Linked DNA regions of Anolis sagrei. The protein of the gene in region 4 interacts with the protein of the main gene of each other region in a pairwise test. Links are inferred from orthologs where the notes say so. Each region holds a gene or a part of one and is shown on either strand. Other genes may lie near its edges.

Region 1 (7,508 bases), on a different chromosome or scaffold from region 4:
ATCTTCCAAATGTTGAGGAGACGGGTCAGGGTCTGGTTGGGGGTCTTGAATGACTGGTGTGTCACTCGTGGCCTCCAAATCAATTGTATCTGTTTCAATTTGGTGAGGCATAGCCGGTTCTAAATTGAAAACCTGCGGATCCATGTCTCCCTGGGGGTCTGGGGGCCGAGAGAGTGTAGCTGAAGGGGGTTCACGGGGGGGTTGGGGAAGGTTTGGGTCAGAGTAATGAGGAGGGTGCATCCCCTTGAATGAGTCAGGGGGGGGGTGGGTAGTAGAAAGGATAAGCCGGGAAGGGAGGAGGGGGAGGGTACATATAATAAGGGTATTCCTGGTACCCATAAGGCTGCTGGTGGGAAGGAGGCACTGTGCGTGTCCTTTTGGGAGGGGGAAGAGAAGGAGTTGTAGTTTGGCGTGGATCCGGGGATGGAGAGCGGCGGCGGCGCCCGCTGGGGTGCGCAGAGGCGCTGGGCCGAGCCGAGGAAGGTGACTCCTCTGGTTCCGGGGATTGGGGAGGGCTGAGTGAAGGAGGAGGTGAGTTCTGAGAGGGTGGGAGAGGCGGGGGGGAGAGGGAAGCGTCCGGAGGAGGCTGCGGTTCCAGCTCCATATGTGGAGCCAGGAGCTCGAGAGGAGGGAGATGGGAGGGGTCTTCCATGTGGAGGAGAGAGGGGAGCGGTTCCTGGAGCTGCACAGTGGAACCGGGGAGAAAGGGCACAGACTGCAATACAGGGGGACTCAAGGGCTGTGTGCCAGTGAGTTGCCGTCCCTTTTTTTGTTTGTTTGATTTCTCTTTTGTTTTTGAAGACCTCGTGGTCTGCTTAGCTGATTTTGCTTTCTTTTTCTGCGGCTCCACAGTGGGAGAGCCCGCTTGTTCTCCATCCCGCCTATCCCCAACGCGTGGGGAGGGAGGCTGGGAGGTATTTTGAACGGGGGAGGATTGGGAGGGAGCGGGAGGAGCTTGCGGGGCCAGGGCCCGCTCATACAAAAGAGCTTTTAATCTGGCGTCTCTGCCTTTGCGAGCTCTGGAGGTGAAGCTCAGGCAAATCTCACAAGTCTGGAGATTGTGGGTCTCTCCCAGACATAGGAGGCATTTAGAGTGTTTGTCTGCCTCAGGGAGGTTAGTCCCGCAGGAGGAACAATTTTTAAAACAGAGGGAAGACATCTAGCCTGATAGAATAGTCGTCAGCCGGTCCGTGGTCGGGGGAAGGAGAGGTCTGGTAGTCGAAGAGAGTCCTGGTCAAAAGCCAATAGAGTCCGAAAAGAAGAAGGAGAAGTCCTGACGATGCTGCCTGTTTGGCGCGGAAAAAGGAACTACCTCTGGGACGCCTGCGGGGGCTGATATACCGGGGGGGCGGAGAGTGGGCGGGGCCTGTCTTTATTCTCTAAAATAATCATTTAAAAATTCATTAAAATTCTAGAAGTTCCGGATTGCTGCGCATGCGCACAGGAGAACCCATAGGTGTGCATTTCACGGAAGACACGAAGAAAAAATTAAATATTAAAATCAAATTTGGTCTGGCAGCTCATTTTTCCATTTTGTATTTTTGATCTGAGTCTAAAATTGGAATAATGAAAAACATGGCCTTGTTTTGATAACCTATTTATTTTCCCTATTTATACCCTGCCTTTCTCAACCCCAAAGAGGACTCAAGCGGCTTTAAATATAGGCAACTATTCAATGCCTTAAAACAGGGGTCCCCAAACTTTTTAAACAGAGGGCCAGGTCAAAGTCCCTCAAACTGTTGGAGGGCCGGATTATAATTTGAAAAAAAGCATGAACTCCTATGCACGCTGAACATATCTTATTTGTAGTGTAAAAAACACTTTAAAACAATGCAATAATTAAAATGAGGAACAATGTTAACAAATATAAACTTATTTGTATTTCAATGGGAAATGTGGGCTTGCTTTTGGCTGATGAGATAGGATTGTTGTTGTTGTTGTCATGTACTTCAAGTCATTTCAGACTTAGGTTGACCGTGAGCGAGGGCCGAGTAAATGACCTCGGAGGTCCGCATTCGGCCCCTGGGCCTTAGTTTGAGGACCCCTGGCCTTAAAACAACATACAATTCAAATGAACAATTAAATTAAAAATTAAAATTAATGCCAGTAAAACGTTTAAAACATTACATTCACTATTAAAATCCTATTCAAAACCAAATAACATATTCGTGTTTTTTGATGGTCAATTGAAAAATGAAAGAACGAGTAATACATGGATTCACATGGCTCTGAATGTTTAGTACTTCTGAGTAAGATATCTCTGTTATTTTCCTGTTCACGTGTTTTGAATTTACAGTGAGCATTGAATAGCCAATATGTAATGTTTTCTGTTTATCCCAGGTTATCTGGCAATGTGGACTCATATAATACAGATTAAAGCAGAAAACCTGGGATCAAATCCTGGGATATAGGGCCTGCCGGGAAGAGCCCTAGGATATCAGTGCTCACCAATGCTTCCTCTTCATCCTGAAAAGAAGTGATGAGCGGAGTGCCGCATGGTTCCATCCTGGGCCCGGTCCTGTTCAACATCTTTATAAATGACTTAGATGAAGGGTGAGAAGGCATGACCATCAAGTTTGCAGATGACACCAAATTGGGAGGATCGCCAATATTCCAGAAGACAGGAGCAGAATTCAAAACTATCTTAATAGATTAGAGAGATAGGCCAAAACTAACAAAATGAAGTTCAACAGTGACAAACGCAAGATATCTCACTTAGGCAGAAAAAATGAAATACAAAGATACAGAATGGGGGACAATGCCTGGCTCAAGAGCAGTACATGCGAAAAAGATCTTGGGGTCCTCATGGACAAGTTAAACATGAGCCAACGATGTGATGCGGTAGCAAAAAAAAGCCAATGGGAGTATAGCGTCTAGATCAGGGTTCCTCAAACTAAGTACCAGTCCTCACTCAGGGCCAACCTAAGTCTGAAATGAAAGCACACCACAACAACAGCAATCCTATCTCATCAGCCAAAAGCAGGCCCACACTTCCCATTGAAATACTAATAAGTTGATATTTGTTAAAATTGTTCTTCATTTTAATTATTGTATTGCTTTTAAGTGTTTTTGCACTACAAATAAATATGTGCAGTGTGCATAGGAATTCATTTTTTTTTCCAAATTATGATCCGGCCCTCCAACAGATTGAGGGACTGTCACCTGGCCTTCTGTTTAAAAAGTATGATGACCCCTGATGTAGATCCAGGGAAGACATGCTACCCCTCTATTCTGCCTTGTTCATACCACACCTGGAATAGTGTCCAATTCTGGGCACATCTAATCACCTCTCAACAAAAGATTGCCCCAGGCACTGCCAGGCCATCAAATGCTAATCAAGGTGGTCAGTTGAAACATTCACACCTAGCTCCAGCAGACAAGAGTTCCTTGTCCCACTCTGGTCTTTCCACATATATATAAATCCATTTTTCTTGTTCCAACAGACCTCACTACCTCTGAGGACGCTTGCCACAGATCCAGGTGAAACGTCAGGAGAAAATGCCTCTAGAACAGTGGTTCTCAACCTTCCTAATGCCGCGACCACTTGATACAGTTCCTCATGTTGTGGTGAGCCCCAACCGTAAAATTATTTTCATTGTTCATAAATGTAATTTTGCTACTGTTATGAATCGTAATGTAAATATCCGATATGCAGGATGTATTTTCATTCACTGGACCAAATTTGGCACAAATACCCAATATGCCCAAATTTGAATAATAGTGGGGTTGTGGGGAGGGATTGGTTTTATCATTTCAGAGTTGTACTTGCTGGGATTTATAGTTCATCTACAATCAAAGAACATTCTGATCTCCACCAATGATGGAACTGAACCAATCTTGGCACACAGGACTCACTTGGCACACAGAAAACACTAGCAGGGTTTGGTGGGCATGGATCTTGAGTTTGGGAGTTGTAGTTCATCTGCATCTGTGGACTCAAACAATGATGGATCAGGACCAAATTTGGCACAAATACTCAATATGCCCAAATGTGAACACTAGTGGAGTTTGGGGGAAATAGACCTTGGCATTTGGGAGTTGTAGTTGCTGGGGTCTATAGTTCACCTACAATCAAAGAGCATTCTGAACCCCACCAACAATAGAATTGGACCTAACTTTTCACACGTAACCCAGATGACCAAGAGAAAATACTGTGTTTTCTGATGGTCTTCGGTGACCCCTCTGACACCCTCTCACGACCCCCCCAGGGGTCCCGACCCCCAGGTTGAGAAACACTGCTCTAGAACATGTCCATACAGCCCGAAAAACCTACAACAACCCAGCGATTCTCTCATTCTCTGCGTGTGGCAGAAAGCTCTCTCTTCCATTTTGCCCAATGTTACGATTCCCTCTCAGCCCGATGGCAGAGTGAACTGTAAGGCCAGGGCCCTCAAGAGCAAGGCTGCACTTAGCATTCGAGAGGAGAGAAGCGCGGCCTGTTCCAGAACCTTCGGGCCCCGGTCGCGTGGCAACGGCTCCCCCTCCCCTCGCGTTAAGCCCCGCCCCCCTCGGCCTCTCCTTCTCCTGGGCCCGCGCCTCGCGAGCTCGCCCCTTAAGGCATGTCTTTTCCTTGGACTCCTGTGCGCAACGGCTAACGCGTAAACTCATTCGGGGGGCGGGGAGAACAGGACAAATGCCTCGTTAAGAACTCAAAAGTGAGGCAGAAGGGGAAGGAGACTCCCCTCCCCTTTCCTCCGGCTTCCCGGCAAGAAACCGCTGAGCGGGAAAGGCAAAGGGGTCGCGAGCGAAGGAGGGCGAATGACGAGCCGCGCTCAGAAGCCCCGCCCCCTGAGGAAGCGCGAGAGCGGAAGTGGCGGGGCTGTGGAGCTGCGCGCGAACGGCGCGTCCTCCCCAAGTCTCGGCGCGAGACGCAGCCGGCACCTGTGAGGTAACACTACTCGGCGCGCGGGGAAGGGAAGCGGAAAGGACGGGGCGCTTCTCCTGGTGAGAGAGGCCTTCGCCAAGGAAGGGAGGGGGGAGGAAGGGAGGGGGAAGGAGGAGGAGGAGGGCCCGGCCTTCCTCTGGCGCCTTGAGGGCGGGAGGGGGGAGAGGCTTGGGCTGCGGAGGAAGCGGGGGTTCCTAGACCGGCTGCCTTAGCGAGTGGGCCGCTGCCTCCTTCCTGTTGTCCCAAGAGGAAGGAGCCAACCCTTGGCGCGCGGGGCCTCGCTGTGGCTCCGCCTCCTGGGAAGAGGGTGAGGACAGAGGCCCGGCGAGGAAGGAGGGAGGGAGCAAAGGCGGGCAGGGACCTCATCACACTAGAGTAGGTATGGGCAAACTTGGGCCCTCCGGGTGTTTTGGGCTTCAACTCCCACAATTCCTAACAGCCTACTACAGCTCCCAGAAGCCCCCAGCCTGCAGGCTGGGGGCTTCTGGGAGCTGTAGTAGGCTGTTAGGAATTGTGGGAGTTGAAGCCCAAAACACCCGGAGGGCCCAAGTTTGCCCATGGATCCACTTCGAATCCAGTTTCTCCCTCCTGCAAAATCCTGGAGTTTGTAGGTTAGGGCATCCTTTCAACTGGTCAGCCAAGGTCCTGGGCCTCCCTAAATTACAAACCCCAGAATTTTGCAGGAGGCAGAGACTGGATTTAAAGAGGATCCATGCTCTAGTCCAGGGGTCCTCAAACTTTTTTTAATTATATATATTAGTTTAATACATACACAACATTTATAGTTCCCACCACCACATATTAATCCTCTTTGAGATGAACCTTATAGATAACATTTGTCTCCTATTTCTTTCTTTTTTTCTTAATTTTTTTTATTTAATTATTTGACACAATCTCATATATAATCAAAAAATATACGTTCAGAAATACTGGAACATGTCTAAATCTGTATGTAGACAGCAACTTGTACAAAGTAAGTATAGCATATACTCGAGTTTAAGACACTTTCAAAGGGAAATCCATGCAAACTATTCCTAACTAGAACTGTGTCTATCTAGCTAAGAGCAATAGTGTCATCAGCTACTCCCACCCCCATATCATATGCAAAAGGTAAATGCCAATGTATTTGGGGGGGGGGGGGGGGAATTCCTTACAAGGCAAGAAAAAAATGAATGAATTTCTAGACACACTGCACATATCTTATTTGTAGTGCAAAAAAAAAAAAAACCACTTAAAAACAATACAAACATTAAAATGAAGAAAATTTTCAACAAATATAAGCTTATTAGTATTTCAATGGGAAGTGTGGGCCTGCATTTGGCTGATGAGATAGGATTTTCGAAGGCTTTCATGGCCAGAATTGCTGGGTTGTTGTAGGGTTTTTTGGGCTATATGGCCATGTTCTAGGTTCTCAAACTAAGGCCCGGGGCCGGATACGGCCCTCCAAGGTCATTTACTCAGCCCTCACTCAGGGTCAGCCTAAGTCTGAAATGACTTGAAAGCAAACAACAACAACAGTCCTATCTCATGAGCCAAAAGCAGGCCCACACTTTCCATTGAAATGCTATTAAGTTTATGTTTGTTGAAATTGTTCTTCATTTTAATTATTGTATTGTTTTAAAGTGTTTTTGCACTACAAATAAAATAATGTGCAGTGTGCATAGGAATTCATTCATGTTTTTTTCAAATTATAATCCGACCCCCCCCAACAGTTTGAGGGACTGTGACCTGGCCCTCTGTTTAAAAAGTTTGAGGAACCCTGCCTAAAACTGTTGGAGGGTCGGATTATAATTTGAAAAAAAGCATGAATGAATTCCTATGCACACTGCACGTATCTTATTTGTAGTGTAAAAAACACTTTAAAACAATACAATAATTAAAATGAAGAACAGTTTTAATAAAAATAAACTTACTAGTATTTCAATGGGAAGTGTGGGCTTGCTTTTGGCTGATGAGATAGGATTGTTGTGGTGTGCTTTCAAGTCGTTTCAGACTTAGGTTGACCCTGAGTGAGGGCCGGGTAATAATAATAATAATAATAATAATAAACAAATTTAATACCCCACCACCATCTCCCCAATGGGGACGCGGGGCGGCTTACATGAGGCCAAGCCCAACAGCATATTACAATAAAGTAAAACCAAAACACAATAACAACAAAGTAAAATACATACATCATATGAGTACAAAGACAATAAAGCAAAATAATACACAGTAAAATAAAATAACCTAAAAATGAGCGGGCTGTATGTGCAAGATCAAAACTAAGATACTAAAAATACTAAAATCAGGATGAGTTAGGGATGGAGCAGATTGTTTGTGGGGGAGAATGATCTTGGAGGGCCGCATCTGGCCCCCAGGCCTTAGTTTGACCCCTGCTCTAGTCTGATGAGGCACAAAGACGTGGTTTTCTTGTGCCTGGCAGGCGGCTGTTGCCTCTGTCTGCCACCTCCACTGGTGGCGTCCCAGTTCCATGCCATTGCCCTGCAACTATTATTATTTATTATTTATTTATTTACAACGTTTATATGCCACCCTTCTCACCCAAAGGGGACTCAGAGCGGCTTACAAGATATATATATATATACATACAGTATATTATATTATTAGCATAGTGCAATAT
Region 2 (7,221 bases), on a different chromosome or scaffold from region 4:
CAAAAACCCAGACAACTAACTGTATATACTCGAGTATAAGCCTAGTTTTGCAGTCCCTTTTTTAGGCTGAAAAAGCTCCCCTCGGCTTATACTAGAATCAAAGTTATTTATTATTTTACTCTGTTATTAGTATTATTTTTATTACATTTATTATCTTACTCTATTATTACATTCACATTATTTTACTCTATTATTATTTTATTACATTTATTATTTTTCTCTATTTATTATTGTTATTACATTTATTCTTTTACTCTACTATTATTAGATTTATTATTTTACTCTATTATTATTATTAGTATTATTGCATTTACATTATTTTACTCTATTATTTTATTACATTATGATCTGGTCATCAACCATAATAAAGCTTACTTACTATTATTTTACTCTATTTATTGTTATTATTACATTTCCATTATTTTACTCTATTATTACATTTCCATTGTTTTATTCTGTTATTATTATTTTGTATTACATTAACCTGACATCCGCCGGGAAGTAGCAGCCAATAGTGAAAGGACCAAGGCAGGGGCATCTCCAGCTCATCCTCTGTTTGGGTATCAGCCAGCACGTCAAGAACTTAAATCTAGAAATAGTTTTCTAAGATCTACAGAGACACTGGCTGGAACACCTCAGCAAGCAAGAGTCCAAAAGTGAAAGGCTCAAACCCAGCACCTCAATCCGTGGGTGATACCAGATGAGAGACTCCCCCCTGGGCACACAGAAGACGGGGCGACTTGGAAGGTGCTGAACAGACTGCGCTCTGGCACCACGAGATGCAGAGCCAACCTCAAGAAATGGGACTACAGGGTGGAATCCTCGGCATGTGAGTGTGGAGAAGAGCAAACCACTGACCACCTGCTGCAATGCACCCTGAGCCCTGCCACATGCACAATGGAGGACCTTCTTGCGGCAACCCCAGAGGCACTCCAAGGGGCCAGATACTGGTCAAAGGACATTTAACCGAATACCAAATTTGCAAAATCTGTGTGTGTTTTTTTTCTTTTTAATCTGTGTGTTTGTTTTGTTCCGTTAGAATTGTAACACAATGGTATGGCTGCTGATGACACGATAAAAAAGTTATTATTATTATTATTATTATTATTATTATTATTATTGTGGGCCCACTGGCCTGAGGCCCCTTCCTTTCCCCCTCACCTGCTTAAGGAAGGGTCCTGAGGCTGTTAGGAATCCAACCCAAGCGGGGTGTCCCCTGCCCGGCCTACCCAGAGGAAGGCAAAGCAGCCACGGTACATACTTGGGCTGAGCGCGAGATAGGCGGACTTGCCTTGGCTCCCGGCCTGCCCGCCCTCGTCCTGCTGCTGCTGCTGGAGGTGGAGGCCATGAAAGCCTACGAGCCCACGAGGACCTTGAGATCGTCTGGGGAGGCCCTTCTCTCGGTCCCGCCTGCCTCACAGGCACGGCTGGCGGGGACGAGGGAGAGGGCCTTCTCGGTGGTGGCCCCCCGGCTGTGGAACACTCTCCCTGCACACATCAGACAGGCGCCTTCCCTCATGTCCTTTCGAAAAAGCCTTAAGACATGGCTTTTCGAGAGGGCATTTAATTAAGTGCTAATAATACGGTTATGAGAACTGGAACGGAACTGGAATGAGACTGGCTATGATTCCACTAAGAGACGAAGCGGATTTTTAGTGTAGTTTGTAGTTGTTGTATAGTCTATATGTTGTCGAAACTGGCTTTTTGTAATTGTCTTTTATGTGTACTGTACACCGCCATGAGTCGCCCTTATGGGCTGAGAATGGCGGTCAATAAGTGCATCAAATAATAATAATAATAATAACAATACATTCACACCTAGCTCCAGCAGAGAAGAGTCCTTTGCCCCACCCCAGTCATTCTAGATATAGATATGTATATATATATATATATATATATATATATATATACAGAGATGCAGGCGAAACGTCAGGAGAGAATGCCTCTAGACCAGTGGTTCTCAACCTGGGGTCCTGAGATGTTTTTGGCCTACAACTCCCAGAAATCCTAACAGCTGGTAAACTGACTGGGATTTCTGGGAGTTGTAGGCCAAAAACATCTGGGGACCCCAGGTTGAGAACCACTGCTCTAGACCATGGCCATACAGCCCGAAAAAGCCTACAACAACCCATTGTGTTAATTGTTTTTAAATGGTTTGTATGATGCTAGCCTTGAATTTTTGCTGTTGTTTGTTGTTAACCGCTCTGAGTCGCCGAAGGGCTGAGAAGAGCTGTATACAAACAAAGTAAATGAAGTAAATAAATAAATTCTTGTGTGCCAATTGTCCTCAGGCCCCTTCTTTTCTCCCCTCAGTTGCTTAAGGAAGGGGCCTGAGGCTGCGAGGAGTCCAACCCAAGCGGGGTGTCCCTTGCCCGGCCTACCCAGAGGAAGGCAAAGCAGCCACGGTACATACTTGGGCTGAGCGCGAGATAGGCGGACTTGCCTTGGCTCCCGGCCTGGCCGCCCTCGTCCTGCTGCTGCTGGAGGTGGAGGTGGAGGTGCTGCTGGGCCGCCACGGCCTGAGCCTGCTGTTGCTGCTGCTCGAGGCCTAGCGCGGCCTGAGGCGGCGGGGGAGGCGAGGGGAAGCGGTACTGGGCGTACTGGGCCTGCTGAGGCGCCTGCTGCCCTTGCTGAGGCGGCGGAGGAGGTGGAGGTTGCTGAGGCGGAGGCTGGGGTTGCTGAGGCGGAGGAGGAGGTGGTGGAGGCGGCGGAGGAGGCGGCGGCGGGAGCGCGGCGAAAGGGAAGGCCGCGGCGGCCGCCATGAGGCTGGGGATGGCCGGCTGGGGCTGGGCCTGCGCGGGCGGCGGAGGAGGAGGAGGCCCCTGCATCACGAGGCCCGGCGGAGGGAGCGGGTAGCCGGCTTTCCCCGGCGGAGGAGGCGGCGGCGGCGGCGGATGGAGCTTCCCCAGAGGCGTCGCGTTCGCTCCGGTCGCCATCGACGGCGCTTAATGGCGTCCCAGGCCCGTTCGCGAAGCTTCCACGCCAAAGGCTCGCCTCACAAAGACCGCGCGCGCCGATTGGCTGAGGCAGCCGTCCGTCACTGCGCCGATTGGGCAAGAACCGAGTCTGTCAAATCTCTAAAGCTTTGATTGGCTGCACCGCTGAGATTGGGTCCCTCCTCTATCTATCAAGGTACTTTTGTGCGCCTAATGGTCGCCAAAGACATCCTTCACTCCACCGATTGGGCAAGAGCCGCGTCTATCAAGTTCGCACCGCTGTGATTGGCTGCACCGCTGAGATTGGTTCCCTCCTCTATCTATCAAGGTACTTTTGCGCGCCTAATGGCCGCCTGAGCCGTTCTTCACTCCGCCGATTGGGCAAGAGCCACGTCTATCAAATCTCTTCCGCTGTCATTGGCTGCACGGCTGTGATTGGTTCCTCCTCTAACTAACAAGGCGTCTAATGGCCGCCAATACAGTCCTTCACTCCGATTGGGCAAGAGCCGCGTCTATCAAACCTCCACCACTCTGATTGGTTTCCTCCTCTATCTCTCAAGGTAGCCCTGCCCGCCTAATGGCCGCCAAAGCACGCCTCCACTCCGCCGATTGGGCAACAGCCGCGTCTATCAAATCTCTACCGCTTTGATTGGCTGCACCGCTGTGATTGGTTCCGCCTCTATCTATCACGGCGTCTAATGGCCGCCAAAGCCGTCCTCCACTCCGCCGATTGGGCAACAGCCGCGTCTATCAAATCTCTACCGCTTTGATTGGCTGCATTGCTGTGATTGGTTCCGCCTCTATCTAACACAGCGTCTAATAGCCGCCAAAGACATCCTTCACTCCACCGATTGGTCAAGAGCCACGTCTATCAAATCTCTACCGCTGTGATTGGTTCCTCCTCTATCTATCAAGGCGTCTAATGGCCGCCAAAGCAGTCCTTCACTCAACCGATTGGGCAAGAGCCACGTCTATCAAATGTACACCGCTGTGATTGGCTGCACCGCTGTGATTGGTCCCGCCTCTATCTATCACAGCGTCTAATGGCCGCCAAAGCAGTCCTCCTCTCCGCCGATTGGGCAAGAGCCGCGTTTATCAAATCTGCACCGCTCTGATTGGCTGCACCGCTGTGATTGGTTCCTCCTCTATCTATCACGGCGTCTAATGGCCGCCAAAGCAGTCCTTCACTCCGCCGATTGGGCAAGAGCCGCGTCTGTCAAATATCTACCGCTTTGATTGGCTGCACCGCTGTGATTGGTTCCCTCCTCTAGCTAGCGCCTAATGGACGCCAATTGGTCAACAGCCGCGTCCATCAACCGTCATTAGCCAGACACAGCCTTCACGTCCTCTGTCTTTCAAGGTGTCCCGCGCGCTGATTTGATACTTAGGCCTTAGTAGGCGGGAGCATACCGCGTCCATTTTGGAAGGCGGGATCTAGGGGAATCTAACGCTGTGATTGGTGAAGCTCAATTGCTTTCAGGACTTTCCCTCCTCGCTGCCACATGGCCCGCTTCCTGAGGGACTTTTCTGCCACGAGTCCCATAGAGATAAGTGACGTCAGTGGAAGCTCGGGCTACCATTGGACGGTGAAATAAAGTAGCGCCGCAGAGGGAAATAAGGAGGCATTTGATTGGCCCACGTTTTCTTCCATCCACGAGGCTGGCGGGAGTTAGGGCCTAAGCCTGGTGTTGCAAATGAATCAGGAGGTCGCGAGTTCGAATCCCGCTTGGGCCAAAAAGGGAAAAAAATAGTACTGCAGGCATCCTCATTACTACATTAATATACTATATTATTATATTATTACATTATGATTATAATTACTATAGTATGATATTATTACACTTTATATATGTGACATTATTATTTTTAAATTATTATACTATATTATAATAATTATATATAGAATTATAATAAATTATATAATATTAACAATTATATTATTATACAATATGATATTACATCACTATATAATATATATATTATATTATTATATTAACATTATTATACTATATTATATTATTACATTATGGTTATAATTACTATAGTATGATATTATACTTTATATATATGACATTATTATTATTAAATCAATATACATATAATAATTATATATAGAGTTATAATAAATTATAAAATATTAACAATTATTATATTATTATACAATATTATATTATATCACTATATAATAATATATATTATATTATTATATTAACATTATTATACTATATTATAATAATTATAGAATTATAATAAAGTATATAATATTAACAATTATTACATTATTATACAATATTATATTATATCATATAATAATATATATTATATTATTATATTAACATTATTATACTATATTATATTATTACATTATGGCTATAATTACTATAGTATGATATTATTATACTTTATATATGTGACATTATTATTTTTAAATTATTATACTATATTATAATAATTATATATAGAATTATAATAAATTATATAATATTAATAATTATTATAGTATTATACAATATTATATTATATCACTATATAATAATATGTATTATATTAACATTATTATACTATATTATATTATTACATTATGGTTATAATTACTATAGTATGATATTATTATACTATATATATATGTAATATTATTATTTTTAAATTATTATACTATATTATAATAATTGTATATAGAATTATGATAAATTATATAATATTAACAATTATTATATTAGTATGCAATATTATATCATATAATAATATATTATATAATATTTCTATTATAATATAATATTATTATTACATTATTATATCATATTGTTGTATTATGGTTATGAGGTTGTGAGGTTTGTTGGAAACGAGGAAAATTATTATTATTATTATTATTATTATTAACTTTATTTGTACCCCGCTAGCATCTCCCGCATGACTCGATGCGGCTTACAAAGGCCGAGGCCTCAACACAGCTTTGAGATGGTAGAACAGAAGCTCTCCGAAGCTCTAGGTGCTCTTACTGCCTATTTCAGGGAAAACCAGCTGATCCCTAATCCATCTAAAACACAGACATGTGCCCTTCATCTCAAGAACAGACAAGCATCCCGAGCTCTGAGGATTATTACCTGGGAAGGAATCCCACTGGAGCATTGCAGCGCACCCAAATACATGGGAGGAGTCACTCTGGACCGTGCTCTGACCTACAAGAAGCACTGCCTGAACATCAAGCAAAAGGTGGGTGCTAGAAACAATATCATACGAAAGCTGACTGGCACAACCTGGGGTTCACAACCAGACACAGTGAAGACATCTGCCCTTGCGCTATGCTACTCTGCTGCTGAGTATGCATGCCCAGTGTGGAGCACATCTCACCACGCTAAAACAGTGGATGTGGCTCTTAATGAGACATGCCGCATTATCACGGGGTGTCTGCGCCCCACACCACTGGAGAAATTACACTGCTTAGCCAGTATTGCACCACCTGACATCCGCCGGGAAGTGGCAGCCAATAGTGAAAGGACCAAGGCAGAGACATCTCCAGCTCATCCCCTATTTGGGTATCAGCCAGCACGTCAACGACTTAAATCTAGACATAGTTTTCTAAGATCTACAGAGACACTCGCTGGAACACCTCAGCAAGCAAGAGTCCAAAAGTGGCAGGCTCAAACCCAGCACCTCAACCAATTGCTGATACCAAATGAGAGACTCCCTCCTGGGCACACAGAAGACTGGGCGACCTGGAAGGCGCTGAACAGACTGCGCTCTGGCACCATGAGATGCAGAGCCAACCTTCAGAAATGGGGCTACAAAGTCGAATCCACGACATGCGAGTGTGGAGAGGAGCAAACCACTGACCACCTGCTGCAATGCAACCTGAGCCCTGCCACATGCACAATGGAGGACCTTCTTGCGGCAACACCAGAGGCACTCCAAGGGGCCAGAAACTGGTCAAAGGACATTTAACCAGCTACCAAACTCACAAGTTGTGTATTTTTCTGTTTGTTTGCTTTGTTCTGTTAGACTGGTTGTTCTGACACGACAAATAAATAAATCATATTGTTGTATTATGGTTATGAGGTTGTGAGGTTTGTTGGAAACGAGGAAGATGGGGTTTATATCTCTGTGGAATGATGTCCAGGGTGGGTGAAAGAACTTGTCTGTTGGACGTAGGTGTGAATGTTTCAATTGGCCACCTTGATTAGCATTTAATGGCCTAGCAGTTTTCAAGGCATGACTTCTTACTGCCTGGGGGAATCGTTTGTTGGTAGGTGATTAGCTGCGTATGAGCCAATCAGAAAGCTTCTAC
Region 3 (8,008 bases), about 20 Mb from region 4:
GCTGCCATATGTAAAACCACCATGAGTCCCCTTTGGGGTAGAGAAAGGCAGGACACAAATAGAGCAAATAAATCAATAAATAATCTGTTTATCCCAGGTTATCTGGCAATGGGGACTCATATAATCCACTTTAAAGCAGAGAATCTGGGATGAGATCCTGGGATATAGGGTAGTGTGGGCCTGAGGGCCCTTCCACACAGCCCTATAGCCCAGAATATCAAGGCAGAAAATCCCACAATATTGGCTTAGAACTGGGTTATCTGAGTCCACACTCAGATAATGTGGGATTTTCTGCCTTGATATCCCGGGATATAGGGCTGTGTGGAAGGGCCCTTAGTTTCATTTGAAGGAGAAAAAGTGGGATATAAACACTAATATCAGTAATATTCACTGTGCCACATCTGCCAAAAGGGACCCCCAGTTTCACTAAAGAAAAAAAGAGCAATTTAACAGGTTAAAATTACTCTTGTACCAACGTATTTCTCCACTCCTTTGGACATCCTCACCCCTTACAAATATTTTTCAATTTCACAGGCTTTAAAAACCTTTGGCCCTTCCACATGGCCCTTTGGCCCTTCCCATGCGTTCTCTTAAGGGCAGGAATCAAGCAGATTAAACTGTTTGGCACATGGGTGAAAGCCATGAGTGTTAGATGGCTTCACTTTAATTCACTTAGTGGCACGCCTGCTGTGCAAAGCAAGGGAATTCTTTTAACAACATGCTGTCCCCTGCCATGTGTTGCTGTGGCCCAGTCTGTGTATATATGTTTTGTGTGTGTGTCTGTGTATGCTTGCTGTAAGGTATTTTTCTTTTTGGAGAGTTTGACGTTATTTCCCCTTTGTTTTTTAAAGGTTCTTTGTTTGAAAGACATAAATTGGATTATTATGTTTTGCTGCCAAATTTCGAGTCAATTCGTCCAGTGGTTTTTGGGTTATGTTAATCCCACAAACGACCATTATATTTTTATTTATATACTAGCCGTTCCCTGCCATGCGTTGCTGTGGCCCAGGCTGTGTATATGTGTCTTGTGTGTATATGTGTGTGTGTGGCTTTGTACATGTGTTGTATTGTAAATTTTGTTTTTTGGCTTTTTGAGTCTCTTCTGTGTTTTTCAGTGTTTTTACGAGTGGTGGTCACTTGTCGGCCTGATAGGTGCATGGTGTCCAAATTGGTGTAAATTCGCCCAGTGGGTTTTGAGTTATGTTAACCCCACAAACGAACATTATATTTTTATGTATATACTAGCCGTCCCTTGCCATGCGTTGCTGTGGCCCAGGCTGTGTATATGTGTCTTGTGTGTTTATGTGTGTGTGTGTGCTTGCATATATATAGGTGTGTGTGGCTTTATGTGTTGTATTGTAAATTTTGTTTTTTGGCTTTTTGAGTCTCTTCTGTGTTTTTACGAGTGGTGGTCACTCGTTGGCCTGATAAGTGTCTTGTGTCCAAATTTGGTGTAAATTCGCCCAGTGGATTTTGAGTTATGTTAATCCCACAAACGAACATTATATTTTTATTTATATAGATAAAATAAAATGAGGAACATGTGCTAAGAAAGGTGGTTTCTATGTACTGCTGACTGTATGGATGGCTGTGACGATTGGAGGAGAAGTAATGTATTTGAAATGTGGTGCTACCCAAAAAAATAAGGGGGGGGGTTCTGAGAGCCAATGCTTTCTGAAAGGCAGAATAACCAAAAGGAGACGGTCAAACTTGGGTTGCCTCATGGGAAAATGTGCCTCGTTGGGAGAGCCTACCCTGCCTGCGAGAGTGCGAGGCAGCAGGGAAGAGGAAGACCGCATTAAAGATGGATGCCACGGCCCTGAGCCGCCCGCAGAAGCCGAGCCAGGGCCCCCAGGCCGAGGAGGCCTCTCCACAGGCAAGGAAGGAGACCTCCTTGCGGCTCCCCCCTCCCCCCCAACTTGGGTGCTTTAATTCTACGGCTTTCAATCGATTCCCTTTTTCAAAGAAGGGGCAGATCGTATGTCTCTTTAAATAGGCGCTCTCCTTGAAACCACAAAGGGGGTTTTGGGGGAGTCTAAATTACACCCTATTTTTTTTTTGTTTGTGTGAGGGAGAAGTTTTTTGGCGGGAAGGCGAGCGTTCTGAGGAGGAGGGGGGGAGGGCGGAAACCAGGGCGCGCGACCCCGTTTGCTCGCTCGCACGCGCACATTGCTTGCTTCCTCCTCGCGCGCTCTCGTTCGCTCTCTCTCTCTCTCTCTGTGCAGCTGCCTCTTTTTTTAAAGGGGGGAGGGGGGGAAGGGCGAGGAAGGCAAGCACGCGCGAGCCCGCCCCGTTGGCGCAGCTGTTGCCCGTTTAAGAGAAGGGGGAAAGGAATTAAAAAAAAAAACCAAGGGTGGGGAGCCGAGAAACGAAAGAAATGAACGCGGTGGTGGCTGCGCGCGCGCTCCAAGGAAAGAGAGGCGCCAACAGCCTCTCCGTGTCGCGCGCTCGCCCTCTCTCTCCCTGCAGGCAAGCCCACGCGCCCTCCAGTAAGAGACGCAGCGGCTGAACAACATGGCGGCCGCGGAGCGTCTCCTCAGCCGCGCTCTCTCTCCCGCCTCTCTCTCTCTCTCCACGCGCCCTCCCTTCCCCCCTCCCCGCCGCCACGAGCCCCCAGCTTGACCCTCTTTGCCCCTCTTTTTTTTCCTATTCTTAAAAGCCGGCCCCGCTCGTGAGGGAAAGAAAGTGCGGCGCTTTCCCGCCCAGAGGCGGACTTACATCCGGCGGGGTCCGGTTCCGCAGCTCCAAGTGGATGCGCTTCTTCATGTCCATGTCGGCGGCGTCGTGTGGTGGCGGCGGCGTCGTCGGAGGTGGAAGCAGCAGCGGGGTGTGGGCCCGGAATTAGGCCCTGTGCGCACGGCGCGGAGTGGACTCGCGGGGCAGCGCTGGGGCGAGCGAGCGAACGAGGGAGGGAGGGAGGCCGAGGGGGAGTTGCGGAGGGCGGGAGCGCCGAGCGCCTCCTTCGTCGCCGTCGCGACTGCAGTTAAACTGGCAACGAGGCCTGGCGAGGACTGACTGACTGGCTGGGCGGCCGGCAGGGGGCGCTGCCGAGGAAGGGGAGGGGGAGGAGGAAGGGGAGCCGCCTCCCGGAACCCCGCCTCCCTCCCTCCTTCCCTCGCCCCATCTTCGCCACAGGCATGGCGGCCGGCCATCGCTCCCGCAGGTCCATCTCTTCCTCAGCGCTCGATTCTGGTTTATACAACAGGTTTGCAAGGACAGGATTTTCGCCACCTTCTCCAGGCTTCTCCAGGTGGGAGCCATGAAATGCACCTCTCTGCTCACTTCCGGCCTCGATCATTATTATTACAAGAATTTATTTATTTACTTATTATATTTAATCTACTATATAAATAAAAATGTAATATTCGTTTGTGAGATTAACATAACTCAAAAAACACTGGGCGAATTGACACCAAATTTGGACACGACAGCTCTCAGGCCAACGAATGACTATCACTCATAAAAATACTGAAAAACAACAGAAGGGATTTTAAAGGCCAAAAAATAAAAATACATTACAACACATGGGCAAAACCACATATATACACATATACACAAATATATACACACACAAAACACATATACACAGACTGGGCCACAGCAACACATGGCAGGGGACGGCTAATCTATATAAGTAAAAATGTAATGTTCGTTTGTGGGATTAACATAACTCAAAAACCACTGGACAAATTGACCCCAAATTTGGGCACAATACACCTATCAGGCCAAGGAGTGACCATCACTCATAAAAACACTGAAAAACACAGTGGAAGAGACTTAGAAAGCCAAAAAAAACACCCCCACCTTACAACGCATGCACAAAACCACATAAAAACACATATACACAGCCTGGGCCACAGCAACACATGGCAGGGGATGGCTAGTCTATAGAAATAAAAATGTAATGTTCGTTTGTGGGATTAACACAACTCAAAAACCACTGGACGAATTAACATCAAATTTGGACACAATACACCTCTCAGGCCAACGAGTGACCATCACTCATAAAAACACTGAAAAACACAGTGGAAGAGACTTAAAAAGCAAAAAAAAAACACCCTTACAACACATGCACAAAACCACACACACACATATATACACAGACTGGGCCACAGCAATGCGTGGCAGGAGATGGCTAGTTTATATAAATAAAATATTTAATGTTCATTTCTGTGATTAACATAACTCAAAAACTACTGGACAAATCGACACCAAATTTGGACACAATACACCGCTCAGGCCAACGAATGACCATCACCTCTAAAAACATTGAAAAACAACAGAACGGACTTTAAAGGCCAAAAAAGCAACAACAAAAAAACAGTGATAGCACATGCGCAAAAACAAAGCTTCCCCCTGGCAAACTACACACAAAAGCACACTCTCTTCCAGGCTACAGCTCCCAGCATCCCCTAGACCAGGCCCTTTAGGAGAGGAGGATGATCCAAATTCACTGCTTCCAAGCTGCAAGCTTTCTTCTCCTTGGATTTCTTTGAGAGCATCCCAATCCCTGCATATTTTCAATTTCCTATTCCTGGATGGCGACTCCCATCAATCCTCCAGAAAGATAAGACAGATAGATAGATTAGATAGCAATAGGTAGGTAGATAGATTGATAAGAAGGACTGCTGGGAGTTGCAGTCCAAGAATAGGTAGAGAAGGAAGAAAGGGGAGAAACAGAAAGGGAAAGAAAAGGGAAGGAAGGGAAGAGGAGAAGGAAAGAAATGAAATTAAAGAAAAAAGGGAAGGAAGGAAGGAAAGGAAAGAGAAAAAGAAAGGAGAGAAAGAGGGAGGGAAGGTTGGCCACAGCAACACATGGCGGGCACAGCTAGTTATAATAGTAAGGCATTTAAAATATAAAAAATTAAAACCCAAACAGCACTAAAACATCAGTTAAAATCCATCAAAACATACTCCAATTTAAAAACCACAGCAACCTGCTGACTTTATCTTAAACTCCTTCTTTAAAAGTCTGCCTGAATAGAAAGGTTTCAGTCTGCTGCCGCTGGAAGGACAGCAAAGAGGGGGCCATTCTGGCTTCCCTGGGAAGAAGGGGGTTCCAGAGACCAGGGGCAGACACCGAGGCCCCTTCCACACAGCTGTATAAAATCCCACATTATCGGCTTTGAACTGGAATATATATCCCAGTTTAAATCTGATACTGTGGGGTTGTCTACCTTGATAGGCTGGGTTATATGGCTGTGTGGAAGGCTTGCGCTCTCTCTCTCGTTCCTACCAACCAACTGAGCTTGAGATGGAGGTGGGACTAAATTGTGCCCAGAAACAGACTGGCAGCCAGTGGAGCTGCTGTAAAGGGGGTGTCCACTCCCTGGAGCAAGCCCCAGTTAGCAACCTCGCTGCTACTCTTTGTACCAGCTGAAGTTTCAGAAGACCCGTGAAAATATTAAGGATGCTTCCACACAGCCATATATCTCAATATATTAATGCACTTACTCCACAATATCTGCTTTCAGCTAGGTTGAGTCCACACCCATATAATCAAGTTCCATGTGGATTTTATACAGTTGTGTGGAAGAGCCCAAACCACCTCTTGGGAAAGTTTTCTGGCAGGTTTCAGTGCTTTATTTTCTTTTTGGGCTGAATGTGAGCCTCACCTCCTCTAACCTGACTAAAATTCAATCTCATCCAGGCTTTTTAGTAGCCTTTTTGGCCAGTCAGATGATTTTCCCAAATAGTTGATGCAGCTATGAAAACAATATGTCTCACCCCATAGTTAACATTCAGAAGTTGTGTGTACATCAGACTTTAGACTGTAAACTGTCCTTTCTTTCTTTAACAAATTTGAAATGAATCCCAGGAATAGTTTTATTATATGAAGATGTACAGGCAGTCCTCTAGTTACAAACATCTGACTTGCAAATGACGCCTAGTTAAGAACGGGGGTACAAACATAGCTGTAAAAGGTGCTGGAAATGCGACAAACAAACTGGAACTTTCTTCCATCAATGGTGGTCCTGCCCCATTGCACAAAATTTCTGGAAGAAGATCAACAAAAGATGCGAAGAGATTCTCAAGCTGAAGATCCAAGAAAGAGCAGAATGCTACCTGCTTGGAATATTTAAAGAAGAATGGGAGCTGAGCGCAAATAAAGACATACTACTCACATTCCTTACAACGGCAGCGAGAATAGTCTATGCAAGGAAATGGAAATCAAAAGAGACACCAACAGAAGAAGAATGGATGGAGAAAGTTCTAGAGATAAGAGAAATGGACACGTTAACCTACGCGTTATAAGACTCATACGGACACCCACTCAAAAGAACCGACTGGAGCCCATTAAATGAATATATGAGAGAAAATCTATCTCTTAAAAAGATATGAGTAGAACAGTAAACAAGAGAAAAATAAGAACCACAAGGGAAAAGCCACAAAAGAGATATTTCCAGAAGAAATGAAAACAACGCGGAGAAATCGGAGTCGGAAGTCAACCCCCCCAAACCCTCCCCCCCTCCCCCCCAAACCTCCTCCTTCCCGGACCTACTTGCCCCCTCCCCTCCCCAATTTACCCCCTTTTTTATATAACCCAACCCCCCTCTATTTTTATTCTTGTTGTATTTATTAAAAAATTGCTAATAAAAATATTTTTTAAAAAAAGAACGGGTGAGACAACAGGAAGTGAGAAATCTACCCCTCGTAAGGGAAAACCTCTCCTAGAAGAGTTATTATAATGGGGAAAAGGTGTCGTCATTGAAGCTTTCTCACCAATTCTTGGTTCCACAACAGGTAATTTTTTTTCAAAATTGGTCACAGGGACAAGAAGTGAGGTGAAATCTGAGCAGGGGCACAGACAGCAAAACAAGGTTTACAGGGGTGTTAACTCTTCCCTGTGTTATCCAAAGCTATATATATATATTTGCCTGGTGTTACCCTTCACAAATGTATCTATTCCGACTTACATACAGACCTACAGAACCTATCTTGTCTGTAACCCAGGGACTGCCTATATAACCAAAAAGACAAAGAAATGGGCCTGAGAACAAATCGAAGCTGAATTCTCACTACCACAAGACAGTATGACTTCTTCACAGATCCGATTGGTGGGAACAAGAGACAGGGCCTTCTCAGCAGTGGCCCCTCTGCTATGGAACACTTTCCCTAGGGATATTAGATTGCCCCCCTCCCTCCTAACATTTCAAAAGAGGATTAAAACCTGGCTGTTTGACCAGGCATTTGCAGACGCAGTATAACTGATTAATTGAGACTCATGAAATGATTGGACGATACAACGGAAAATTATTTTAATTATGAGATGCTGAGGACTTGTACTTTATGGTTTTAATTGCTGTATTGCTTTTATATAGTTTATATTATATGTAATGTTTTTGACTATTTTATTTTGTGGGGCATTGATTGCCGACTAAACTGCCTTGAGTCACCTCTGGGCAAAGAGGGACGGTATACAAATATAGTAAATAAATAAATAAATAAAGTACTTTGGACATACCATGAAATGGCATGACATGGTAACGCTCAGTAAAGTTGAAGTCACAAGGAGGAAAATTACAGAGGAACTGACTTAATCAGGGAAGCCATGGACCCAGGGATGGAATCAGGTTAATCTTGGGGGTTATAATTCATAGGGTTATAGTACATTGAAGCTATCTTAATAGAACATTAACAGCAACAACAAAACACTGGAGTTGTACATTCACTCTAGCTTTTGCTTTTTCCTCTTTCAACCACTCCCAAGTTGAACAGCAACAATCCTGGTTCCAAACTAGGATTCAATGCCAGCAGACCCCTATTTGATTTCTCATAGTTATAGAAGTAGTGTTAAAATCCACTGTGGGTTTGCTATTTCTATGGCAATACAGTAGGAAAAATGTTTTCAGTAAATTAGGGTTTGAAACTGTAGGAAGCTCCATTACCTCTCATTATCTCTCAAAAACACCCACTAGGGGTCACAATCTAGATTTGATATTGCAATTTAGTGGCACAAAGGGGAGTAGGGAGCAGAATGTTTAAAATAAGAGACACTCTAACTAGC
Region 4 (7,621 bases):
TTAGTCTCTGAAGCAACAGCAATTATGATTGAGGGTTCATCACATTAATTACTGCAGCATAATTTCTTGTTAACCAAATGCCTCTAATGCCCTAAAATGTGTAAATCTCCACTTGCGACTTTTGCCTGAAGTGTCTCTGACAATGGTAGGAAAATGGTAAACACTATTAATAAGAATACTAATTATAGCACTAATAATAATAATAATAATAATAATAATTTGTATTTGTTACTTGCTTCTCCTAACAGCTTGAGGTGGGCACAGTCAAAACACATCCACATAAAATGCATGCAACAAAACAAGCGTTGGCCTATAAAGCCTTAAACGGTTCCGGCCCAAGATACCTATCCGACCGCATCTCGACCTACGAGCCCACCAGGACTTTGAGATCTTCCAGGGAGGCCCTGCTCTCGATCCCGCCTGCTTCACAAGCATGGCTGGCGGGGACGAGAGATAGGGCCTTCTCGGTGGTGGCTCCTTGGCTGTGGAACACCCTTCCCGTGGACATCAGACTGGCTCCTTCCCTGATGATATTCCGCAGGAAATTAAAGACTTGGTTGTTCAAGAAGGCGTTCGAACAAGAAGTGCAATGATTGGTAATGACTATAGGAATGGAACAACGGAAAATGATACTGGTTTATGATTTGGACGATGAGACGACGTGGAATGGTTTCTGTAGTAATGATGATGTTTTTGTATAATGCTGAAGTGTGAATTGTTTTGATACTGTGTTTTGAATTTTGTTCCTCTTATGTTGTACACCGCTGTGAGTCGCCCCTGGGCTGAGAACAGCAGTATATAAGCAAAGCAAATAAATAAATAATAAATAAAACAGCTATATCAAAACACACCATTATAAAATATTCACAGTAAAACACATGGTACAAAGATCAAAATACAGCAGTAACAGAATGAAAATGCAAAACTCATTGTTTAAAGTTGACTGGGTAGGCCTGTCAAAAGAGATGTGTGAGAGTTATTAATTTATTTATTCATTTACAGCATATAATGGCCTGATAGCACAACAACAGGGAGGAAACAAACAAGGACATCTCATCACCTCTCAACAAAAGTTGGCTCCAGGCACTGCCAGGCCATCATATGCTAATCAAGGTGATCAGTTGAAACATTCACACCTAGCTCCAGCAGACAAGAGTCCTGGTCATTCAACAGGTATATAAACCCTTTTTCCTAACTCCAACAGACCTCACTACCTCTGAGGATGCTTGCCATAGATGCAGGCGAAACGTCAGGAGAGAATGCCTCTAGACCAGTGGTTCTCAACCTTCCTAATGCCGCGACCCCTTAATACAGTTCCTCATGTGTTGGTGACCCCCAACCATAACATTATTTCTGTTAGTACTTCGTAACTGTAATTTTGCTACTGTTACGAATTGTAATGTAAATATTTGATATGCAGGATGTATTTTCATTCACTGGACCAAATTTGGCACAAATACCCCATATGACCAAATTTGAATACTGGTGGGGTTGGAGGGGATTCATTTTGTCATTTGGGAGTTGTAGTTGCTAACCTATAATCAAAAAGCATTCTGAACTCCACCAACAAAGGAATCGAGCCAAATTTGACACACAGAACTCCCAAGACCAAGAGAAAGTACTGGAAGGATTTGTTGGGCGTTGATCTTGAGTTTTGGAGTTGTAGTTCACCTACATCCAGAGAGCACGGTGGACTCAAGCAATGATGGATCTGGACCGAACTTGGCACGAATACACAATATGCCCAAATGCAAACACTGGTGGAGTTTGTGGAAAATAGACCTTGACATTTGGGAGTTGTAGTTGCTGGGATTTATAGTTAACCTACAATCAAATAGCACTCTGAACCCAGCCCAAAATGGATCTGCACCAAACTTGGCACACTACTGACATGGCCAACATTAACTACTGGTGGGATTGGGGGGGGGGGGCTGTTTTTGAATTCTGGGAGTTTTCATTCACCAACACCAAAAAGGATGAGGACAGGCGGAGAGATCTTCAGCCTTCTCTACCAAAAGGGTTCCTAAGACCATGAGAAATATGTGTTTTCTCATGGTCTTTGGCGACCCCTCTGAAACCCCCTCACGACCCACCCAGGGGTCCCGACCCCCAGGTTGAGAAACACTGCACTAGAGCATGGATCCATTCGAGGGGGAACTATATAATTTCATTTGTATAAGTAATTATAATAATACTAAAGATCCCAGCCTATATAATGTATGTTGGCCATATAGCCCGAAAACATGGCCATATAGCCCGAAAAAACCTACAACAACCCAGTGATTCCGGCCATGAAAGCCTTTGACAATACATTGAGTTTTCTGCCTTGATATTCTGGATTATATGGCTGTGTGGAATGGCCTCTCAGGGCCCTTCCAGACAGGCCCAATCTCCCGGGATCTGATCCCAGGATTTCTGCTTTAAATTCGACTATTTGAGTCCGCACTACCAAATAATCTGGGATAAACAGAAAACCTGGGATCAGATCCTGGGATATAGGGCCTGTCTGGAAGTGCCCTAAGAGGCCCAGAGCCTGGCATCTCCGGTGGATGACAGTTGAGTGATGAAGATTTTGCCCTGAAAGCGGGTGGTGGGTAGGTAGGTGGGTGGGTGGGCGGGACGGTGAGGAGCAGCTGCCTGGTGGCCTGGCGTGGCCTTGCTGCCCCGCCCCCAACTCCCGGGCCTCCCGCCGCCATTCCGCCCCACAGCCCACACCCACGCCCAGGCCTCTTTCCGCCGCGGCCTTGCCAGCCCCGTCACCTGCGCTTGCGGCCGGCCCCACGGCCAGGCCCACGACGCCAAGGCCCTCCTCCTCCTCCGCCGCCGCCGCCCCGGCGCGCAAAGGCGCCCCTCTCTCCTCGCCAGGCGAAGCCGGCTGCGCACGCTCCCAGCGCGCACGCGCCACCGGGCCGGCCATTTGGCGCAGCTTCCGGTGCGCGCGTGACGTTCCTCAGCTCCGCTCCGCTCGGCTTGTTTACTTATCTCTATGGTTATGTTGCGGCCTGGAGAGGAAGAGCTAGCCGGGGTGTCCCGCCCTCTCTCACCCCGGAAGTGCTGCTCTTGTGGAGGGAGGGAAGGGTGGAGGAGCAGGCCGACAGCGCCACTCGCCTCAAAGAGGCCCTTGGAAGCCGCTCCCTTCCGTGTCTCTCCCTCTCGGCCCTTCTAATGGGGAGGCCAGGCCGGCCCTGAAGCCCCTGGAGAGCGAGGACGCGCCATTGCAAGCCGCCTTCCCTGCCCACGCCCCGCCCCACGGTGACAGGGGGAGGGCCTCGCAGGGCAAGTGGCCTGGCTGATTCTCTCACACTAGAAGCAACTTGCAGTATGAATGAATGAGTTTGTTTGTTTGTTTGTCGTGTCAGGAGTTTATTTATTTATCGTGTCATCAAGAACCATTGTATTACAATTCTAACAGAGCAAAACAAACACAGAGATTTTAAAAAAAGGAAAAAAAAACACAGATTTTGCAAATTTGGTATTTGGTTAAATGTCCTTTGACTAGTATCTGGCCACTTGGAGTGCTTCTGGTGTAAGAAGGTCCTCCATTGTGCATGTGGCAGGGCTCAGGTTGCATTGTAGCAGGTGGTCTGTGGTTTGCTCTTCTCCGCACTCGCATGTCGAGGATTCCACTTTGTAGCCCCATTTCTGAAGGTTGGCTCTGCATCTCATGGTGCCAGAGCGCTGTCTGTTCAGCGCCTTCCAAGTCGCCCAGTCTTCTGAGTGCCCAGGGGGGAGTCTTTCATCTCGTATCACCCACGGATTGAGGTGCTGGGTTTGGGCCTGCCTCTTTTGGACTCTCGCTTGCTGGGGTGTTCCAGCGAGTGTCTCTGTAGATCTAAGAAAACTATGTCTTGATTTAAGTTGTTGATGTGCTGGCTGATACCCAAACAGGGGATGAGCTGGAGATGTCTCTGCCTTGGTCCTTTCACTATTGGCTGCTACTTCCCGGCGGATGTCAGGTGGTGCAATACCGGCTAAGCAGTGTAATTTCTCCAGTGGTGTGGGGCGCAGACACCCTGTGATAATGCAGCATGTCTCATTAAAAGCCACATCTACTGTTTTAGTGTGGTGAGATGTGTTCCACACTGGGCATGCATACTCAGCAGCAGAGTAGCATAGTGCAAGGACAGATGTCTTCACTGTGTCTGGTTGTGATCCCCAGGTTGTGCCAGTCAGCTTTCGAATGTTTCTACTTTTTGTTTGATGTTCACGCAGTGCTTCTTGTAGGTCAGAGCACGGTCCAGAGTGACTCCCAGGTATTTGGGTGTGTTGCAATGCTCCAGTGGGATTCCTTCCCAGGTAATCCTCAGAGCTTGGGATGCTTGTCTGTTCTTAAGGTGAAAGGCGCATGTGTCAGGAGTGACTGCAAGTCGCTTCTGGTGCAAGAGAATTGGCCCTCTGCAAGGACGTTGCCCAGGAGACACCCGGATGATTTGATGTTTTTATCATCCTTGTGGAGTAAATGAATTAAAACTTTAGTTCTTCTCTGCCTATCTCCCCAGAGGGTGGCTTACAACACATAAAAAGGCAAACGTTCAATGGCAAATAATAATAATAATAACAATCTTCTATCTATCTATCTGATAATCTATATAAATAAAAATGTAATGTTCGTTTGTGCTATTCACAGAACTCAGAAACCACTGGGGGAATTGACACCAAATTTGGACACGAGACACCTAACAGTCCAATTTATGTTCTCCACTCAAAAAATAATTAACTGGAAAGAACTTACCCCCCACAAGGCTAAATGCCTATATAGAGCCGGTGTTTTATTTATTTTTTATTTCAGACACTTCTACCCCGCCCTTCTCACCCCGGGGGGGACTCAGAGCGGCTTACAAAGGCACAATTCGATGCCGGCATCAATACAAAACAATACAACAATAAAAACAGTATAGCAGCAATTAAAGTTAAAAACAATTAAACGGTCGGTTCTCAGTTCTACAACACGTCAATAAACCAGTTTAGCATTCAGCGTTCGCTGTCTCAGAGTCCATAGTTTCAATTCCACATTGTCAGTCCTGTTAATTCTAGTAGTCCATTGTCCTTAGCTGCCGGGTTGCCCGAAGGCCTGGTCCCATAACCACGTTTTTAATTTCCTTCTAAAGGAGAGGAGGGATGTTGCTGGTCTGATCTCACCCGGGAGCGAATTCCACAGGTGAGGGGCCACGACCGAGAAGGCCTTGCTCCTTGTCCCCACCAGCCTCACTTGTGATAGAGGTGGGGTCGAGAGCAGGGCCTCCCCAGATGATCTCAGATTCTGAGGTGGGACGTAGAGGGAAATGCGTTCGGACAGGTACGCCAGACCGGAGCCGTATAGGGTTTTGTAGGTCAAAACCAGCACTCTGAATTGTGCTCGGAACTGGATCGGCAGCCAGTGGAGCTGACATAGCAGAGGGGTGGTATGCTCTCTGTATGACGCTCTGGTGAGTAATCTGGTTGCCGCCCGCTGGACTAACTGAAGTTTCCGAACAGTCTTCAAAGGCAACCCCACATAGAGTGCGTTGCAGTAATCTATTCGGGATGTAACAAGAACGTGGACCACTATGGCCAGATCAGACTTCTCCACGTACGGGTGCAGCTGGGGCACAAGTTTTAATTGTGCAGAGGCTCTCCCGGCCACCGCTGAGACCTGGGGTTCCAGGCTCAGCAATGAGTCCAGGATCACTCCCAAGCTGCGAACCTGCATCTTCAGGGGGAGTGTTACCCCATCTAACACAGACTGTAACCCTATGCCTTGTTCGGCCTTGTGACTGACCAGTTGTACCTCTGTCTTGTCTGGATTCAGTTTCAATTTATTAGCTCTCATCCAGTCCGACACAGCGGCCAAGCACCGGTTCAAGGTCTGGACAGCCTCCTTGGTGACAGGTGAGAAGGAGTGACAGATTTGGACATTTGGACCGTAACAGCGGCCAAGCACTGGTTCAGGACCTGAACAGCCTCCTTAGTAGCAGGTAAAAAGGAGTGACAGAGTTGGACATCATCCACGTACAGATGACACTGTGTATACAATGGCTGGTGTATACAAACAAGCAAACCTTTTCAGGACCAGCTTTGACAATAATCTCAATTATCATCAAAAGCATGTCAGCTACCAATGAACTGTTGCTTTATGAACTGAGCCAAGATAAATGTGATGTTTTGTGTCCAAGAAACATCACATTTATCTTGGCTCAGTTAGATCAGTGGTTCTCAACCTGTGGGTCCCCAGATGTTTTGGCCTTCAACTCCCAGACATCCTAACAGCTGGTAATTTTTTTTTCTTGCTGCAAAATTTCTTTTGTGTCCAAGAAACACACAGAGATAATCAACAGAAATGACCAAAAGTTCCAGGAATGATCTTAGTGGCGGAAAGACCACATGTGCAGTATGGAAGTTCTGGCTTTGTAAAACTAAGCTTCAAAGTCAGCAGTGCCCACAATACTGGAGAAAACAATGTAGAGCAGGTATGGGCAAACTTTGGCCCTCCAGGCATTTTGGACTTCTACAAAAACAGTGACAGATTTGGACATTTGGACCGTAACAGCGGCCAAGCACCGGTTCAGGACCTGAACAGCCTCCTTAGTAGCAGGTAGAAAGGAGTGACAGGAATTATGGCTGTTAGGAATTATGGGAGTTGAAGTTCAAAACACCTGGAGGGCCTAAGTTTGCCCATGCCTGATAGAGAGGTTATAACAGTAGAGCTTAGTAATATCACAATTACCTCTCTATATAAGCCCCCAAATGAAGAGTTTTGTTTCTCCTCTCCTGAGAACTTTGATAGGCATCAAAGGGCGGTAGTAATTGGTGACTTTAATAGCTGTAGGGGGCTATGCACAGGAGTATAAAAATGGAGAGGCTGTTTTTTCCTGGGCTGAATTGCATAAACTATTGCTTATTCATGATCATAAGTTCCCATCATCCTACAACAGTATGAGATGGTACTGAGGATATAACCCAAACCTGCTCGTGAGCGACAGTATTGTGCATCAATCAGTGGGATCACCAACATTAAACACACAGCATTGGCCGATCATATGCCAGTTGTTTCCAGCTGTAAGAGCTCAGGAAGTTCGATTCAACTTCAGAAAGGCAGATTGGTCTATGTTAGATGACAAGATTATGACGGTTGCCCCAATCCCTGAGGAATACAAGCGCTATCTCTTCCTGAACACCAGAGGCTAGATCTTTCATTTTATAGAGCATGTCACAAAAAGGCTGCTGGTGGTGAAATCACTAGACAGGCAGAAATCACCAGTGTTCAGAATCTTTTGAGACAGATCTTGACAAAAAATGGGTTTGGTTGAGAGCCAATCGGACAAATAGGGAACCCCTCCCCCCATCTTCTAGACAAAAGCATTTAACTGAGTGCTATATTAACTGGTAATGACAACTGGAACGGAATATGGACTACGAGATTGGTTATGATTCTACGATAAGACGGAGCGGATTATTTTAGTGTAATTAGATGATTGTGTATTAGTGATATGTTGGTTTTTTTCCTTATGGCTTATTGTAAATTGTCTTTTATATGTTGTACACCGCCGTGAATCGCCCTAGGGCTGAGAACGGCGGTTAACAAATGCAGCAAATAAATAAATAAATAAATAAAAGCTTGAAAGAAGGAAAAGTAAATATAACA

What was found.
Region 1: the proteins of KPNA1 (region 4) and NUP50 interact in binary tests that used the Homo sapiens proteins (3 or more experiments, as listed by UniProt). The two-hybrid records come from large-scale screens. The link is inferred for Anolis sagrei from reciprocal best matches to the Homo sapiens genes KPNA1 and NUP50.
Region 2: the proteins of KPNA1 (region 4) and SF1 interact in binary tests that used the Homo sapiens proteins (3 or more experiments, as listed by UniProt). The link is inferred for Anolis sagrei from reciprocal best matches to the Homo sapiens genes KPNA1 and SF1.
Region 3: the proteins of KPNA1 (region 4) and ANP32B interact in binary tests that used the Homo sapiens proteins (3 or more experiments, as listed by UniProt). The link is inferred for Anolis sagrei from reciprocal best matches to the Homo sapiens genes KPNA1 and ANP32B.

Annotation. Positions count from the first base shown.
Region 1 is NC_090025.1:100,037,006-100,044,513, forward strand, and holds the start of NUP50 (nuclear pore complex protein Nup50), read left to right. Parts: upstream 1-4,506; 5' UTR 4,507-4,944; intron 4,945-5,097; exon of another isoform or gene 5,098-5,192; intron 5,193-7,508. UniProt on the Homo sapiens protein: Component of the nuclear pore complex that has a direct role in nuclear protein import. Actively displaces NLSs from importin-alpha, and facilitates disassembly of the importin-alpha:beta-cargo complex and importin recycling.
Region 2 is NC_090032.1:19,640,132-19,647,352, forward strand, and holds the start of SF1 (splicing factor 1), read right to left. Parts: upstream 3,006-7,221; 5' UTR 2,937-3,005; coding exon 2,444-2,936; intron 1,339-2,443; exon of another isoform or gene 1,262-1,338; intron 1-1,261. UniProt on the Homo sapiens protein: Necessary for the ATP-dependent first step of spliceosome assembly. Binds to the intron branch point sequence (BPS) 5'-UACUAAC-3' of the pre-mRNA. May act as transcription repressor.
Region 3 is NC_090022.1:150,822,994-150,831,001, forward strand, and holds the start of ANP32B (acidic leucine-rich nuclear phosphoprotein 32 family member B), read right to left. Parts: upstream 3,018-8,008; 5' UTR 2,773-3,017; coding exon 2,719-2,772; intron 1-2,718. UniProt on the Homo sapiens protein: Multifunctional protein that is involved in the regulation of many processes including cell proliferation, apoptosis, cell cycle progression or transcription.
Region 4 is NC_090022.1:170,434,129-170,441,749, forward strand, and holds the start of KPNA1 (importin subunit alpha-5), read right to left. Parts: upstream 3,011-7,621; 5' UTR 2,918-3,010; coding exon 2,761-2,917; intron 1-2,760. UniProt on the Homo sapiens protein: Functions in nuclear protein import as an adapter protein for nuclear receptor KPNB1. Binds specifically and directly to substrates containing either a simple or bipartite NLS motif.